Linked DNA regions of Arabidopsis thaliana. The protein of the gene in region 2 interacts with the protein of the main gene of each other region in a pairwise test. Each region holds a gene or a part of one and is shown on either strand. Other genes may lie near its edges.

Region 1 (3,757 bases), on a different chromosome or scaffold from region 2:
CTGTTGCTTCAGCCAGTCCACCTTTAATCTTCTCCATAAGCTCCTCACACTTCCAGAAGAGTTTCCGGCCTCTTGTATCTTCGCTTCCACGGAAAATCCTACTAACGAAGTCAAGTTCCTTCATTAAAGATTCCCTATCCCAGTTTGGTGCACAGTGCTGAAACACATCTTTCACCCACCCCAGCAATTCAGAAGTATGGTTGCACGCTCGACACTTGAACAGCATTTCTCCCATCCCAGATACGCTCTTGGGAGAAACTCCCATCGAAATCTCCCCATCCCTAATAGCACAATCCGTATGAGTCCAATGAGAACACACGTCGCAGCCAATCCAGCGGCATGTGTTGACTGCAAAGTCAAACTTGTTACATATCACACACATGCACAGGTTGCAGAAGCCTTTCCTATTAGCGCATATCTCACAGGGACAACCATCAGCCGGGAGTTCGTTTTGGCAAGCTATGTTTCTGCATCTCTTGTACACAAAGATCTCGATGAGTGATGACTGAGAGAGATTGATGTTTGGGTGCAAGAATGCTTGGATACCAGTGTTTATAACCACAAGAACTTCAAGCTGCACTCGGTGAGCCCTGACAAGTGTCTTTGAAGTTAAATCAGATCTCGTCTGGACAAACTTCTGCAGAAACATAAACTCATCTATAGGCTGCGCACCATTTCCTTCAAGGATAGCCTTAAGACCATTCTTTAACTCCTCGAGATATTCTTCTGGTAATCGATGCATTCTCTCAGCGACTATGTCAAGTCTCTCTCTAGCTATGTCCCGTAGCGATACCTTATCAGCAATGGAAACATGGCGGATCACATGTTGATCATGAGAGTCAGGCCCTGTCTTTCCGCTATCTGTCTTCCTTCCCATAATAGATTTTGAGGTTGGCCAAGTTTCTTGAGAGCTAGCACTTTCAGCTGGTGATTCACGCACAATGCCAGAATTAGACCGTGACAAGTGGGGATCTGAAGATACAAGCGAAAGAGATGTTTGTAGTTGCTGACGTGGAGGTAGCATCTGGTGAGGAAGATTGGACCCAGATGATGTGCCCATCAATTTAGTGCTGCAGACACCAAGATAATGTCAATGTCAGATTCACCCCAAGGAACACATAAATCCCTAAAATACTTTACGACCAAATCACATACTAATTCAGGAAAGCCCAAAACATTTTGCAAAATCCCTAGAAATCCACCGACAGATAAAAACTACATCTCCTATGTTCAAATTGAGCTGAGATGATTAATCACTAGTGGAAGCTCAAAAAATACAAACACATGACAGAGTAAACACAAAACAAGCGCTAGAAAAAAACAAGTTGCTCGAATCTGTTTGCCCCGTAGATTATACGCTATAAAAGTCAAACACGAATCTTCATAAAATCAGAAAATCTTGCAAGTACCAAAATACATAGTCATAAACTGAATCAACCCTCAAAACAACGCATCCAACTCGATCACGAGAGTTATTGACTCTTTTTGTCACCGAATTTTCAGGACCAGCCTCGAACTCAACAACCAAAACAGATACGTTTTGCTGTATTCGCCTCAGACATAAAGAAAGCACCAAACAGACGAGAAAGGGAAAAAGACCGCCGGAAAATTAAGGACTCACCGGAGAGACGACGGGAGAGGACGAACGAGGAACCGTGACTCCGTGAGAAACCCAAAGGAAAGATAAATTAAACACTTTTTTGCCTGTTAAGACAGAACTATAAAAAAGACATACAGCTGCCAGTTCATTAATCTCTAACGGTTAACCTGACCAGCCGGTAACCTTCGACTTTTGTTGACTTTTTTAAACGCGTTCAACGTTTGAGTCGAATCTGTCCAAACAAAGTTTTAAACCAACCCAATTCGTACGATAACAACATCCCTCTATTTAATTAAAAATTACCATATGTCCCAAAATTTTAGTTTTGTTAGATAAAACTCGAAAAATCTTTCCAAAAACACCCCAACTGAATTTTTCTTAACGGTTATTAAAATTATACCGAGGAGGATCAACACAAACTGGAACAAAAACAAGCTCAATCAATTATTAATCTCTCCAACATAAATAGAGATTATCATTCGCTCATTGCCTATTGTTCTGAGTTTTGGGGTTCTACTTTTACTGCTACTACTAATAAAAGAAGAAGAATATGATGAGAATCGTAGCAGGGACATAAAACATTAGGCTTGTGTTCATTTCTTCCCATCCACTTCGACTGGTTCAACCACTTCAGCTTCAAACGTCTCTGCATCGTGAGAATGTGCCATCTGCTGTTGCTGCGGCTGCACCTCAGGGCTTGACCATTTCCCGGAAAGAGCTACATCCATCATCTCATATATCTTCCCACCCAGCTCTGCTGGATTATCGGGCTGTAGTTTTGAGAAACAACAATTAAGTTTTACCAGTATTTACTTTATTTCAATTCTAGAGACAACAAAAAGTTAAGAATGTTAATGTAGAATAGGACTCACCGTGAACCCACTAGAAACTAGTGCTGCGTCATACATAAGATCTATGGCTCTCATTGCATCTTCGTCATTTGGGTTACTATTGTAAGCAGCCTGCAGGGTGCAAGAAAAAAACAAGCCAAGCTCAAAAAGCGGCTCCTAGATTTAATTATAATAGCCAGGTACAAGTTATGATGAATGGTGACTTCACATTTATGTTCTTGATAATTGAGTGGTCGGGATTGATCTCAAACACTCTTCTCCCTTTCATGTAGTCGAGGCTTATTGTGTCACCAGTTGATTGTGCCTTCATTAGCCTGTCCAGATAACATATTCTGTGTTAGTTCACCAGGGGCAAAAAAGGAGAACGGAAATCCTTGCTTAAGAAAAAGGTCAGATCTTACCTCTCCATATTGGCTGACCAACCAAATTTACCAGATACAAGAACACAGGGGGAAGAACTAAGACGGTTGGAAATTTGAACACTGGCAACCTTGTCACCCAATCGTTTCTTTATCCAGTCACAAGTCTGTCCAAACTCTTTTTTCACTGCTGCCTCTTTCTCCTCGTTCTTGTCTCCTGTCAATACAAAGATCAAAGCCAGAATTTGTTATTATACATAAGTGATTACCTGACATGCTAAATCAAGGAATTACATCAGGCACTTGCCTAGATCCAAGTCTTCCTTGCTGATATCTACAAAATCCTTCTCCTTATAAGCTTTTAAACTCTGTACGGCAACTTCATCAATAGGCTCTACCAAATATAGTACCTACGTTCACAATACAAAGAAATACATGTCAATCACCTCTGAGTTAATAGGAATATTTGCAAGGAAGAACAAAACGAGGCCCCATTCAGAAGAACAACACATACTTCAAGTCCTTTCTCCAGCATCTTTTCGAGGAAAGGTGCATTCTTAGCACTTGTAATGCTGTCAGAAGCAATGAAGTATATGGCTTTCTGTTCAGGTTTCATGTTCTCAACATACTCATCCAAGCTGATCATGTCATTCTCACTCTGGGAGGAGAAAAATCGAAGCAGTGGAGCTATACGCTTGTGGTTTTCACGGTCTTCGATGCACCCTAATTTCAAGTGTTTGCCAAAATTATCCCAAAACTTCTCATAGTCCTGTATAGGTTAACAATGCCATTCTCATTCGTCAGGAAAATCATCACCAGAACGTAGCAGTGATTTCTAAAGGGAATTAAAAAAGGTTAAACTGTAAGCTTAGGGGAACAAGAGTTATGAAACATACTTCTCTGTTTTCACTCAAGGATATACCCAAAATCATATCAAAAGCCTTCCT
Region 2 (3,555 bases):
ATAAACAAATTGTTCATTAAGTTGTATTTTATGTAGTGTATATATTTAGATCAAATTGTTTATTTCCTCTCTTTTATTGATTAGAGTCATAAAATATATACACTACGAATTATTCATTTCCTCTCTTTTATTTATTAGAGTCATAAAATATATACACTACGAATATGAATCTTCCTACTTTTTGTACTAATTCAATTATTTATACTTGAAAAATAGTCATCCAATGCAAATCTTGTTCGCCTAATGTTCCCCTAGTTTCTACTTTATACTAACATCTATGAACGACACCAATATAAAAAAACTGGGCCTTACTCCAACTAATGGCCCATTGGGTTTACGAATCTTTATTTTGGTTACTTGTGTAGGTGACTCCATTCTTTGGTTACTCAGCTCTTATCTTCTTCAAATCGGTTCTTTGTAGAGTTAAGCATATGATGAGATTCCAACAAAATGACTATAAATATATGTGGATCACAATTCACAAATCAAAATAAATTTTGATCAAAGCTTCCGTAGAAACACTAAGTCAAGAGAAACGAATGACCATGAATGAAATTTAAAAAAAAAGAAGAGATAATATTGTGGAAAATTATATAGGTATGGGCACAATATTCTCTAGAATGACCTAAAAAGTTAAATTAATATACACAAACTTGTTAAAACCCTTTAATTAATATTGTGGAAAAGAAGTCCTTTTAGCATTAATAATGTCTAAACACATATTTTAGCTCCTTAATAACTAGAGAGTAGATACTATAGAGACATAGAGTTAGCGTCGGCCGGTACGCATATTGACACTCGTCGGTGCAACCTTCTTTGTTCTTGGACCAACCCGATGATATGCCCCAAGATCCACGTCATCACTTCTTCCACAAACCGTCCTTGGAGCCATCATAATCATTCCTTTCCACAAATTTCTAATGCTCATTTTTTTCACCAACCCATTCTCTTGCTTACTATCATATTCAAGCTTCTTCTGCAACATATTATGATCATAATGTTGACCATGATCATTCCAGAAACCAATAGTTGGTAACGAACCCTCATCAATCCTCTTAGAGATGCTCTTGATCTCATAAGAATCAAGAAGACTAGACAACTTGGTTTCTTGATCTCCACGCAAAAAATGATTAGAGTGTGGTTTAGAAACCTTATTCTCGGAGAGGATCATGGTCTTGTTGGCCTCGAGCTTATACCGCGAAGGTCGAGGTGTTCTTATGGCTCTTTTCGAGAGATCGAACTCTCTCATCATCGGCTTTCCTTCGTGTCTTTGGTACCAAGCCCACGCCGCAGCTTTCACTGTCGCCAGCTCATCATCTCCTCCTCCTCCTCTTCCTCCTCCTCCTCCGGCAAAGAGCGTCGGTGACCATCTCTTCTTTCTACTATTGTTACGGCTTCTGGTGATGCTCTTCTTCTCGGACATAATTGGTGTTGAAATGTAGTAGTTGGCGAATGGAAGCATCGTTCATTGATTATAATGTTTTTTGGGTTTGTGGAATTTGGAGTGGACACGTTAATAGAGGGAAATGCTTAGAAAGAAAAAAAGAAAGAATCATAAATATATAAATACGCGTGTTGCCAAAATAAAAATTAATAAATACGCGTATGTGAAAATGATTTGATAAAATGAGAAAAAGAGTATTATTATTAGTAGTTGTTGTTGCTCTTGCTTTTGGGTCCATTGGTGGATACAACAATTATTCCGTAGGAAAAGTGTTGTATTTTTGTAGTTGGACGCACAATCTACATTTCTTATATATTCTTTTTGTACCTTAGTTTATTTTTTCAATATTTTTCTTTCAATGAAATAATATGTACGTAGAATGTTGTGTTGAGGAGGATTCAACTCATTGGAACAAAAAATTGGTGAAACCGCTTCTCATTATATCGATATATCATATATGGATTGTTCTATGACTTGGTCTTATTTTAATTCTGATGAAAAAATTGGGATGATGCATTGGAACAAAAGCATAGTTGTGGGAACATGCGAGGCTGTTGGAAAAAGAAAGAGAATGTTGGTGTATGAATCGATTAAACACTATAAAGGAAAGGTGATATGAATTATTGATATCAATATTTTATAAACACTATAATCAAAATAACATTAACCTAACATGATCAATATTGGATGAAGTAACTTTACTTCTATTCTCCTAACAACAACCTAATTCAACCCTCACAAATTGATGTACCATAAACAATATCATGTGATACTCCATTTTTAAACAGTATCAGACTTTTAGGAATAAATCTACTAAATTGTCACCCAAATTAGTTTTCTATATTGAAATTAAACCATTTGAGATAATGGTTGTTATCTTATGTGAAGAGTCTGAATACATCAAATAGTTTTAGTATATTACTTCTATGTTAGAATAAAGTGTTTGGAGTTGTATTAAAAAAACAAAAAAAACTCGTAGAGAGTCTCTTTCCGTTATAGACCAAAAGCATCATTATAGTAAATGCCCACAGTTAGCCTATTTAGGTTCTTGGAACGAATCCACCACTTCAAATTGCTGAATTTCAAAAGGTATTTTTTTGCAAGCGTTTACTACAGTTCCATGTTGTTAAAAAAATCACATAAACAACAGATAAAATAATTCTTTTGTATCAAACCCCACATATTAAGGTTATTCTCCATCAATATCATGATGTTAATCCAAACTAAAAAAGGCAAAATACGAACATAAGTTTTATCAATGCGAAATATTTATGAATTCAAATACATTTGTCATATTACTTGAGTTTTTGGTGATGAACCAGATGCATGAACTAATAATTATTTTATTATGAAATTAATTATGTTTTTGAATATTATGTAGTACTTTGTTTATTTATTATTAATTGTATTTAATTTTTTTAATCATTTTGTTAATAAGATAATTTTTTGTCTTTTTATAAATTTTATAATTATAAATTATATTTATCTGAGTCATTTTTTTTATTTATTCGATGTCCCATCCGCTCGCTAACAAGTCATAAACTCTTGCAAATATAATAATTTTCAACAAGTAAACCAGTTGTTCAAACTGTTTAATAACACGTTTAAAGTAGTCTGGCTTACATGTGTTGCTCAATAGTCTTTTTTCACCCAATCAGATTTTTTGAATTTTTAAAAATTTTAAAGGTCGTAAAAATCTAACTGCTTTATTTTTTGTTTTTGTTTTTTTCTTGTTATATTCTTAAAATCATTAAGAGAAAACTTTGGAATTGAATGGCAAAAACTTTATATTAGAGGTTTAGATTAAAAATTATTGTAGAGAGTTTAAGTTTACATCAATGGGTCTGACTTAAAAATTTAAAGGCTTATTTTGTTGGATAAAAAAGAAATGATTACATGAACAACAAAAAAAGAAAAGTTAGATTGTTCGAATTTTACTACTTTAGAAATCAAAAATATCATTAGAGCAATATTTAGTAAAAAATCTAGTCAAACATATACATTTATGATCCGTCACAATTTACACGCAAATGACCTTTTAGATTAACCTTTCTTTTAAAAGACGACTATTGTAGTTAATGAGATTTTATTTTACAATTTCTCAATTCTCC
Region 3 (3,757 bases), on a different chromosome or scaffold from region 2:
TTTCTCTTATTTTGAATTGAGTCTTGGAAGCAAAAGAAACCAGTTTCTAGACAGTTTTCACACGTGACACCTAATATTTCTACACTATAAAGCATATGAAACAAGATTATGGAACCGAGTTACACAGAAAGGAATTGCTATAAGTGGCCTATATTTTGCAGACATGTGATATAAAAATCCATCCAGATGTCACACCTTCCAATATTTGATGGTTTTATCGTTTGTAGAAAGCAGAAACAATGCACCATTAGCTGGCTGACACCATCTGATTTTGTTGATTTTCTCCTCTATCTCCAAACTCTTGAGATAGTCAAACTGAAACAGATTGAAAAGCAAGCTTATTGAGTAGCTCAAGGAACACAATTACTCGTAAGTGAAATCTGGTGATAAGTTTTAATGTACCTCTGGTTCATGACTCTGAAATTCTGTTTTATATCGAAACTCAGGATGCCTAACTGGGTAATCCGTCTGCTCAAGATCCTTCCTGGACCCTCCATGCTGAAAGTAACATTTTGCAAGAGTGCGTTACAGCACATAACATTTTTTCGAAACAAATCTTGCAGAAGAAAAAGGAACTCACATCTTTAGTATCTGTCCTTTCAAAAAGAACTACTCGGCCCCCACGGTCACCAGTTGCGAGATGGTCTCCACTTTTATCAAATTCGATGGCTGAAATGATGTCAACTGCGGAAGAAATGTGTGCAAACAGAATCATTACATCAGAAGTCACCACTAAATTGTAGGAGCTAAACACATAATAACCTTGAGGTGCAGCTAGTATATTATTCTCCATAACATAGAGTATGTAAACCGGTAAAGAAGATTACATCCAATAACATGAGAGCAGATTAAATTTATCTAATACGGAAAGTGCCTCTGAAGGCAACCTAGTTACATCAATACTCCGGGAAGTCTTATCAGCCAGAAGAGAGCAGCTATAGACCAACTCAATATTACAAATTCAATTCATGAACCCAAAATGCATGACCAATGATAACCCTTCACACTTGTCCCTCGACAACCCAATCCCTCATCGCTTCATATGCCTTTCTTGCTGTTAAACAGAGTCGAGACACCATTGTACCAGTGGAAAAAAGTATACATGGCTTATGGCATTGAACAGACAAAACCTTGAAGCTAGATTACCCTCTTAATCTCAACTTAAAACTATCATCAGCGTATCAAATGATTCAAATTTACAGCAGTACAGCTGAAACTTGTACAAAAATGAGAGTTACAACCTCGCAACAATCAGCTAAATAGAGATGCTCTAATATCACATAATACACAACAATCCAAACTTGTCATAGAACTTAGAAACTCTACTAACAGTGCAATAAAAGCCACAGAGATTCATCAATGACCCACTAAGTAGTAGAGGAATAACTCACTAATCAGATCCAAACAACAAATCAAACCCTTAGTCCTCAAATACACTCCGGATCTAAAAGAAAAAAGAAGAGCTAAACTCCGAATATATCTCACAATTTATAACACACGTAGGCAATAATTACCTTCCTGAACTTCTTCTCCGGCGGTTCGCTCACCGAAGACCTGAGAGAATCTCCACTCTAAAGACGGAGGAGGACCACTAGTAGCGGCATCGTCACCACCGTTCATTTTTTTTTTTTGGCTTTTGGGTTAGATAATCCAACAAAAATTAGAAATCCGAGCTTGAGATCTGAGCTTCCAAATCTTTTAATCACCGAATCGAATCGAAGATCGCGTCATCACCATAACCAAATCCTTTGATTCACATTCCATTCCATAGTTTTATTCATGGATTTTTTCGCGATTGAAGCAACTTGATCGATGATTAATATTTCGTCCCTCTCTCTCTCTCTCTCTCTCTCTCTCTCTCTGTAGAAAATGGAATTTTTGATATATCTCTCTGTAGAAAATGGAGGAACGAGAGAAGAAAAACGCCTTGGCCTTTTTCTCTCTCTAAAAGGACAAAAGTGGAATTATAACTTTTTTCTTTTTTTTTTCCTTCGAGACCAAAACGAAGGAACAAATCCGTATAAGTTAATATGTCTAATACTATAATGTTTTTGTCCTGATTCCAAAGTATCCTTAGCGTTACAGTCGGTGACATTATTTATTTGACCACTACATATCGGTGGACAGTGACATATGTTTTCGCCTATCATTGGTCAGTTGTGGAGGTGCTGCGCTTTCCACTGTTGTGTTGTGTGATGGGGGAAAATGTATAATTATCATTAGTAAGTACTAAATAATTATTTTTGCCAAATTATCCTAAATAGAATTCCATTGCACATTTGTTTTTTCTAATCTGATATTATCATATCTTACTTGAGAAAAATTACAAGTTTCTTTCAGGGGTCAAAATTAACTCATGAGAATACCCAAGCGGTAGAAAAAAAGAAAAACGATTGAAACCAGTACAAATCAAATGAATTTAAAAAGTATTACTATAGTTTATACCAAATGTATTTGGATGGTGAATAATCAAAACTGAAACGAATAAGTCAAAGGAGTGTTTTTTTTTTATAACTACTAACCACTCAGACTCAGTGACGGATTAAAAGATTAAAACTTAAACCGGATATAACCGAATAATAGAACCAGTCAGTGCAATTCGATTTAGGACATAATGTTAGGAAGCCTCCTCGTTTAAAAGTTAAAACCTCTCTTTCTGCGGAAGAAACACGCTTGAGATATCTTTCCCCAAATTCGAAAGAACCCTAATTTTTTCCGATTCCGATTGATCAAACAAGCGAATCCCGATTAACTGATCGAGGAGATGGGTAATACAGATAAGCTGATGAACCAGATCTTTGAATTGAAATTTACGTCAAAGTCTCTGCAGAGGCAAGCTAGGAAGTGCGAAAAAGAGGAGAGATCGGAGAAGCTCAAGGTAAAGAAAGCCATTGAGAAAGGTAACATGGATGGTGCTCGGATCTATGCCGAGAACGCCATTCGCAAACGCAGCGAGCAGATGAACTACCTTCGTCTCTCTTCTCGATTGGACGCTGTTGTTGCTCGACTCGATACCCAGGCTAAGATGGCTACCATCACCAAATCGATGACCAACATTGTCAAATCCCTCGAATCGTCTCTTACCACTGGTATTTCACATTCTCACTTTTCAGCAATCTAATCAATTTGGTTTTGTTGGTGCTCATAGCATTATAGTATAGATTGAAAAATTCTGCTCCTTGTTGTTGTTTTTGCTGATTGAAGGATATGGAATCATGCATTAGGGTTTGGTTTGATGAAATATTAGAATAGCTCTCTCTCACCGTCATGGATGTTCTGTGATCTGTGATGAATTTTTGTTGCATTTCTCTCCTTTTGGTAAGTGTAGTATAGAGGGAGAAGAAGATAGGGCTTATAATACTCTTATACGTTGTGCTGTAGCAACTCGTGTTATCATTTTCTGGTTTGTTCTTTGCAACAGGCAACTTACAGAAGATGTCTGAGACGATGGATTCGTTTGAGAAACAGTTTGTGAACATGGAAGTCCAAGCTGAGTTCATGGATAATGCAATGGCTGGCTCTACTTCATTGTCGACTCCAGAAGGAGAAGTCAACAGCTTGATGCAGCAAGTAGCAGATGATTACGGTCTTGAAGTTTCTGTTGGACTACCTCAGCCTGCTGGTCATGCCATTCCTACCAAGACTGAAGAGAAAGTTGAGGAGGATGATTTAACCAGGAGACTTGCCGAGCTTAAAGCCAGAGGTTAATTAGCTAACCTAACAAAAAAAAAAACTGTATTTGGATTCTTCTTTTATT

What was found.
Region 1: the proteins of AT5G37550 (region 2) and OBE1 interact in a two-hybrid assay, tested with the Arabidopsis thaliana proteins (one large-scale study listed by BioGRID).
Region 3: the proteins of AT5G37550 (region 2) and ATB BETA interact in a two-hybrid assay, tested with the Arabidopsis thaliana proteins (one large-scale study listed by BioGRID).

The regions. Positions count from the first base shown.
Region 1 is NC_003074.8:2,482,407-2,486,163, reverse strand, and holds the start of OBE1 (potyvirus VPg interacting protein (DUF1423)), read right to left. Parts: upstream 1,711-3,757; 5' UTR 1,179-1,710; coding exon 1,156-1,178; intron 1,071-1,155; coding exon 1-1,070. Other genes in the region: Hsp89.1 (HEAT SHOCK PROTEIN 89.1), read right to left, coding at 2,194-2,370, 2,473-2,562, 2,660-2,765, 2,853-3,027, 3,118-3,220, 3,325-3,579, 3,707-3,757. UniProt on the Arabidopsis thaliana protein: Probable transcription factor that acts together with OBE2 for the maintenance and/or establishment of both the shoot and root meristems, probably by controlling the expression of the meristem genes such as WUS, PLT1 and PLT2 and of genes required for auxin responses.
Region 2 is NC_003076.8:14,918,331-14,921,885, forward strand, and holds AT5G37550 (uncharacterized protein), read right to left. Parts: upstream 1,696-3,555; 5' UTR 1,463-1,695; coding exon 770-1,462; 3' UTR 571-769; downstream 1-570.
Region 3 is NC_003070.9:6,096,446-6,100,202, forward strand, and holds the start of ATB BETA (Protein phosphatase 2A, regulatory subunit PR55), read right to left. Parts: upstream 1,995-3,757; 5' UTR 1,621-1,994; coding exon 1,515-1,620; intron 685-1,514; coding exon 581-684; intron 499-580; coding exon 403-498; intron 316-402; coding exon 196-315; intron 1-195. Other genes in the region: VPS46.1 (vacuolar protein sorting 46.1), read left to right, coding at 2,765-3,089, 3,422-3,708. UniProt on the Arabidopsis thaliana protein: The B regulatory subunit may modulate substrate selectivity and catalytic activity, and may also direct the localization of the catalytic enzyme to a particular subcellular compartment.